Linked DNA regions of Drosophila melanogaster. The protein of the gene in region 1 purifies or fractionates together with the protein of each later gene. This does not show direct contact. Each region holds a gene or a part of one and is shown in the gene's direction. Other genes may lie near its edges.

Region 1 (3,240 bases):
ATAGCACTCGCGACGGAACAACTGAATCTTTATAACTTGTAGGTTGCATTGCGCGATTCGCGTCTAAGAGAATGTTGTAACGCACTTTTTGTTTGATAAACTAAGTAATAAGTTCATTTAACGCATAAACATAGAGGAGCTACCAGCTCTTCTCTGAGATGCATTTTATGAAACCTAAGCAATAGAACTCCTGATTGCCAATCCTTCGGTTTTACGAGTGCTATAGTCTCGACCTCAGTCAAACTCAAGCCGCGAAATAAACTTTCACTCTTCTCCCGCAGCCTTCGCCACTCCATTATCATCACGAAGAACAACACACATCAGAGCATTCCCCCATCCCCATGCAGACACGCACGACATCAGTGTTTGTGTATTTTTTTGGAAATTACGACTCGCTATACGCAGTTACTGCTTGCAGGAGACGCCCGACAAACCGAAATCCGATCAGCCGTAACGCTTTAAACTAGGACTTAGTTACTCATTAAGATGATAGTTGGTTAAGTTGGCAGTTGGTTTTCACGCCTCGCACGCTCGCAGTCACCAGCATCACTCAATCGACTGTGGAGTGTGCACGGTGTGAAAACGACCGTGATTTGTTTATTTCATTTCTTTGCCAAACGAAAGACATCGTGTGTGTGTGTCTGTGTTTGATTTTAAGCAGTTTGTTATGTTTGTTTCTACGCTGGCTCTTCAAAGGCTAATTTAAAATGTATTATATTTACTACCGCAAAACGATAAACTTGTATATTTCAAGCTACTGTTTGAGGCAGCAGTTGTAGATGGTTGCACAGTCGCATTATTATTATTATAGAAAGTATTCCATATTAAAACAAATAAAATATATACGTTTTGTTTATCAATATGTGTGAGAGTGTGACTACGGCGATGGCTTATCAGATATCAGAAGCACGCGCTAAAATGTTATGAGTGCGTTACACACATCATTCATACATATATATGGCACCTATTTGTTTTATAAAATGGTTCTCAGTTTGGTGCAAAAATTATATTATTAAACAAGCTTTGGAACAAGGAGGAAGGAAATAAACGAACTCAGGAACAAGGAAGAGGGATATGAATATTACGAATTAAACTTATTTGAATCAACTTTTCGTTCAGTGTATCAGTGCATAATGGGAAAGCAGCAATACTAGCAGCTTATGTTAAGTCAGCAGTAAAAAGAACCCGAGCTTTTGCTGCATTTGTTTATCCAAGCATATATGTATGGTGATGTGCATTTAAATTATGGGCACTTTTGGTTCATTCGCGTTTTCAGCGACTTCTGAAAAGGCAGTCTTACGGAACTAATTTACCAAAGTTATAAATAAACAATAATGTTCTTAATCTAAGAATAAAGTTTTTAAAAGTATATCGGTGGAGTGGACAATAAGAAAAAGTAAATGTCAATAAAATTAATGTTAATAAAAGAATTAGATCATTTGGTACCTGCCATAACGAATCCAGTTTGATAACAATGTGTAATCTAATAAACACAAAGGGCAATCCTGAAATTTGAACCCCCGCCAAAAAAAGGCCCCAAAGTTGGCAGCCCCTCGGCGCAGTGTTGCACGTCGCGGCCATTTTGAAAGTGACAGCTCCTTTTACCGTTTCTTTTTCATCCTCTTTCTTTCCGCGCCGAACGCTTCGCGAAGTCGCACGCCTTTTGAGATCTAGCTCGAATTAATTTCCCCGAAATGTCCGAGGAAGTGGTGGAGTCCAGCAGCCAGGAGGCGAGCCAGGTTATACCGCAGGAGCAGGAGGACTGGGCTGACGATGTCGTTACCACAATGCCGGCCCAGGAGGTCACCGAGTGGCCGGAAATCAAGCTTTTCGGGCGCTGGGCCTGCGACGACATCTCCATCAGCGACATCTCGCTGCAGGACTACATTGCCGTAAAGGAGAAGTTCGCCCGCTACCTGCCGCACTCCGCCGGACGCTATGCGGCCAAGAGATTCCGCAAGGCCCAATGCCCCATCGTGGAGCGCCTCACCAGCGGGCTGATGATGAAGGGGCGCAGCAACGGCAAGAAGCTCCTCGCCTGCCGCATCGTCAAGCACGCCTTCGAGATCATCCATCTGCTAACCTCGGAGAATCCGCTTCAGGTCACCGTCAACGCCATCGTCAATTCCGGTCCGCGCGAGGACTCCACGCGAATCGGACGCGCCGGCACTGTGCGCCGCCAGGCAGTCGATGTGTCGCCCTTGCGTCGTGTCAACCAGGTAATCGTGTTCGCATTCCACAAAGTCGTATGAAGTTAAAATGAGTCATTTTCAGGGAACTTCTTGTAGTTAAGAAAGTTATCTACGTAATTCTTACAGGCACTTGGACACTGCTTAAATTTAAAATAATAGGTACAATACATACCGATTTCAATGTAAATAATTAGAAAGCAGTAGCAGAAAGTTATTTTTATCCATTATAATAAGTCAAAATAGAACTTGACACAATAAAGTTAATAACTGAATGTTTTTTTGCAGGCAATTTGGCTAATCTGCACTGGAGCACGTGAGGCTGCCTTCCGCAACATCAAGACGGTGGCCGAGTGTCTGGCTGATGAGCTGATCAACGCCGCCAAGGGATCCTCCAACTCCTACGCCATCAAGAAGAAGGACGAGTTGGAGCGCGTGGCCAAGTCGAATCGTTAAGCTGCGGATTTTCTGCATTTCCATGAATTGATGCCGACTTACATAAGTTGCTATGTAATCATTTCATCTTCTAACTAAATACACAAATGTATTTTATTCCTTCTGTTTTTATTGGCATTCATTTCTACATATCATTTATATGTTCTATAAGAAATGATTATCCTGTCAGTTCGAAAAGATTTCATTCCACCGTGCCAACTTAAAATCGATTCTTTATATTCTGTTAATTCGAAGCTTTTCGCTTAAAAGATGATCTCTAAGATGAGTTTTGGATTATTCTTTATGCTGTTCGTACTGGGCGCCGCCTCGTTGGGCGCGGTTGGCATAATCTTCGCCAACGTGATGGTCAATATGGGTGAGCGCATGGGGCTCGGCTGGTTCCTGTACACCTCGAATCCCTTCCTGTGGTCCGGCATGGGCATCTTCCTCGCCTGCGCCCTGTCCGTTCTGGGCGCCGCCAGTGGAATCTACATGATTGGATGCAGTGTGGCGGGCGGCGGAGTGCGATCGCCTCGCATCAAGACCAAGAACCTGATCTCAGTCATCTTTTGCGAGGCGGTGGCCATCTATGGCCTGATCACGGCCATCCTGCTGT
Region 2 (3,777 bases), 9.0 Mb from region 1:
CTCCTACCGACGACGACTGGTTCTACACTCGCTGCGCCTCTATTATGAGACACCTGTACCTGCGCAGTCCCGCCGGCGTTGGGGCCTTCACCAAGGTCTATAGCGGGCGCAAGCGCAACGGTGTTCGTCCGTCCAAGCACTGTCGCTCATCGGATGGCTGTATTCGCAAGGTGAGTGGGAAATGGTTGTACTTTAAGGTTATATTTAATATTACTTAGCATGTATCTAACACATGAGCAGGCTCTTCAAGCCTTGGAAGCTGCTAACATGGTGGAGAGGCACCCGGATGGTGGTCGTAAGCTGACTCCGCAAGGACAACGTAACTTGGATCGCATAGCCAACAAGATTGTGGCCAAGCAGCGAGAGCGCAGTGCACCAGTTTCCATGATTATCACTACCTAAGATGATAATACCAATACCACGATGGATCATCTTTGAGTGCCTTGGGTTTTCAAAACATTCTCAATAAATCGAAACCAAAAATAAAATTAAACAATTATATACATAATAAAATAACTTAATACTTGAAATATAAACGATTCGAAACTTTATTTTTGACACAAACACGCCGAATAGCAAGAATCCAAGTTATAAAATGTTAGCTAGACCACAAATCTCCCGATTTTTGGTTGCCAGGAGCTCTGAAACCGCGAACTATGACCTCGGCCTGCCACCAACCGCTGGTTTCATTTGCTGCTTTCAAAACGTCATGCTCTTCGTTGGTCTGGCTAACGTCTTCCCCAGATTTATCCAGATTCCGCACGCCAAGATCGTGGTAAATATCCATCTCCTTGCAGCAGCGTAATTCATTCGGTGTGTTTTCACTGCAATGCAGTAGATGCAGGTGTATGTTCTTGCAGCTGCGCGGAAGTTGGCTTAATATATGCTTTGGGATTAGATTAAAGGAGTCACAATGGGATCCTTGGGGTCGATCGGAGTCTGTAAGGAGCTCCATTTCTAGAAACACGTTGGTGACTTTTAGTTCGGTGGAGAATAGCCTGTACAGCTCCTCGCAGGTGAGCAGGCGGAGCAGCGCCTGGTTGATGCGACCTTCGGGCAGAGCATGGTGCTCGCAATAGTGATCTCTGGATATGGAATCATGTGGTATGTGCAGAGTATAGGCCTCCGAGGGCATGAACATATTGTTGCCAAAAAGAAATCGCAGGCTCTTCACTTCAGAGCTCCTGAAGGCTTGTCGGATGATCTGTAGGAGAGAACTGGCAAGTAAAGACCAAAAGAAGTCCTGGATGTAAGGGGAACCTCACCTCTCTCATGTCACTAATAGATTCCTTGGTGGCCTTTGCCTTAGAGCGCTGCTGGTTGCGTTGGTAATGAGCAAAGGACTCCTGATCCTTGGATTCTCCCGATTCATCAGCATCTGACCATTTATCCACATAATATTTGTATGTTTTGTACACGAAGGGGATTTGCCGGCGTTGATAGAGCAAGAAGTCCAGGATGCCATTCACGAACTCCGCTGTTGTCCCACTGGTCAGAACCTCAATGTTATCCAGTTTAAGATCAACATTCTTGACATTTTGATCCATTAAAAGGTCGCAATATAACAAATTTAAACAAATGCTCTTTTCGCACTAATTGCAAACGTTGCCAGACTGAAACATTCAGTTTGTTTACAGTAATCGATAAGTATATAAAACAGTGACTTTTAAAATTTGCTTTTTTCAAGTCTTGAATTCATTTATATTTTGGTTGTTAATCATTACTATTGTTTTAATCCGATTGCTTAAGCATTTCTTGCCTATTTTAATTTTCACGTTTTTTTAAAATATTTGTTCACCCTTAGAGTTGCCAGACCTTCATGTTTCCATAGTACGGCAACACAGCTAACGCGAATGACTAGTAATTTTGTTGCCGACAATAAAGAGTAAAAAGTTCATCAAACGTTCGGCAAAGCAGCAAGCACCAAGACAAAATGGTAAAATAGCACCTTCAGAACACCCTGAACTCATTTACGATCGGGAACAATACATTTGCAGGGACAAAACCAATCGGCTCAAGGGGGAGCTGGCGAAAAGAAAGATGACAAGGATAAAAAGAAGAAGTACGAGCCTCCAATCCCAACGCGCGTTGGCAAGAAGAAGAGGCGCGCAAAGGGTCCAGATGCGGCCATGAAGCTGCCCCAGGTCACGCCCCACACCCGCTGCCGCCTTAAGCTGCTCAAGCTGGAGCGCATCAAGGATTACCTGATGATGGAGGACGAGTTCATCCGCAACCAGGAGCGCCTGAAGCCCCAGGACGAGAAGAACGAGGAGGAGCGCTCTAAGGTTGACGATCTGCGCGGCACCCCCATGTCCGTGGGCAACCTGGAGGAGATCATCGACGACAACCACGCCATCGTGTCCACATCGGTGGGCTCCGAGCACTATGTTAGCATCCTGTCCTTCGTGGACAAGGATCAGCTGGAACCAGGCTGCTCCGTGCTGCTCAACCACAAAGTACACGCTGTAGTCGGAGTTCTCAGCGACGACACCGATCCAATGGTCACGGTGATGAAACTGGAAAAGGCTCCGCAAGAGACTTACGCAGATATCGGTGGCTTAGACACTCAGATCCAGGAGATCAAGGAGTCTGTTGAGCTGCCACTGACCCATCCCGAGTACTACGAGGAAATGGGAATCAAGCCACCCAAGGGCGTCATCCTATATGGGCCTCCTGGTACGGGCAAGACCCTGCTAGCCAAGGCAGTGGCCAACCAGACCTCGGCCACTTTCCTGCGCGTTGTAGGCTCAGAGCTGATCCAGAAGTACCTGGGCGACGGACCCAAGCTAGTTCGTGAGCTCTTCCGTGTGGCTGAGGAGCACGCTCCATCCATTGTGTTCATCGACGAAATCGATGCAGTGGGCACAAAGCGCTACGATTCAAATTCTGGTGGCGAGCGGGAGATTCAGCGTACTATGTTGGAGTTACTGAATCAGTTGGATGGTTTCGATTCGCGCGGCGATGTCAAGGTGATCATGGCCACCAATCGTATCGAGACCCTTGACCCGGCGCTCATTCGACCCGGTCGTATTGACCGCAAGATCGAGTTCCCGCTGCCCGATGAGAAGACCAAGCGCCGCATCTTTACCATCCACACATCTCGCATGACGCTGGCCGAGGACGTGAACCTTAGCGAACTGATCATGGCAAAGGACGATCTATCCGGCGCCGACATCAAGGCCATCTGTACAGAGGCTGGCTTGATGGCGCTGCGGGAACGCCGCATGAAGGTGACCAACGAGGACTTCAAGAAGTCAAAGGAGAGCGTCTTGTACCGGAAGAAGGAGGGCACGCCCGAGGGTCTTTATTTATAAGTCGCGCGAAGATATACTTTCAAGTTAATTTTGATAATTCCCAAACACATGCATTAAACCACATTAACACTAGAATCGCTCCCCGATGTGAATAAATTCGTAGTTGCCGGGAGTTGCTGTGCCAGTTTTCCTAGGAGGTCGTCCACGTAGGTCTTTTGTTTTTCGGATATAACGTTGAGTGGAGCGCCTTGATGCTCCAAATATGTGAAGTGTGCTTTATTTGTTGCATCTGCCAGTTGGAGTTTTTGATAAGCTTCTCGTTCTGCATTCCATTCGGAGCTTTCAGCTCCCGCCGCATTGCTTATGGTTTCATAGAAGGCACTCAGTTTGGCCAGTTCGAATCCAGTTTTAAAGCCATTCTCAAAGCCTTCATCGAAGCTCTCTTGGAAGACCTTTTCCCTGCCATCGGCAACGCCATCTGCATAGCTTATCTTGATAGGGAAAGGGTATTTAGAAGTCGTGT

The links.
Region 2: the proteins of RpS5b (region 1) and Rpt2 purify together in Drosophila melanogaster (affinity purification with western blotting, with the first as the bait; one study listed by BioGRID). This does not show direct contact.

What each region holds. Positions count from the first base shown.
Region 1 is NT_033777.3:14,899,932-14,903,171, reverse strand, and holds RpS5b (ribosomal protein S5b), read left to right. Parts: upstream 1-1,608; 5' UTR 1,609-1,694; coding exon 1,695-2,219; intron 2,220-2,274; coding exon of another isoform or gene 2,275-2,292; exon of another isoform or gene 2,293-2,351; intron 2,352-2,477; coding exon 2,478-2,645; 3' UTR 2,646-2,740; downstream 2,741-3,240. Other genes in the region: VhaPPA1-2 (vacuolar H[+] ATPase PPA1 subunit 2), read left to right, coding at 2,895-3,240.
Region 2 is NT_033777.3:23,929,483-23,933,259, reverse strand, and holds Rpt2 (regulatory particle triple-A ATPase 2), read left to right. Parts: upstream 1-1,701; 5' UTR 1,702-1,933; coding exon 1,934-1,936; intron 1,937-1,997; coding exon 1,998-3,314; 3' UTR 3,315-3,367; downstream 3,368-3,777. Other genes in the region: RpS19b (ribosomal protein S19b), read left to right, coding at 1-170, 241-402; CG13599 (uncharacterized protein), read right to left, coding at 599-1,204, 1,266-1,547; CG31142 (uncharacterized protein), read right to left, coding at 3,368-3,745. UniProt on the Drosophila melanogaster protein: The 26S proteasome is involved in the ATP-dependent degradation of ubiquitinated proteins. The regulatory (or ATPase) complex confers ATP dependency and substrate specificity to the 26S complex.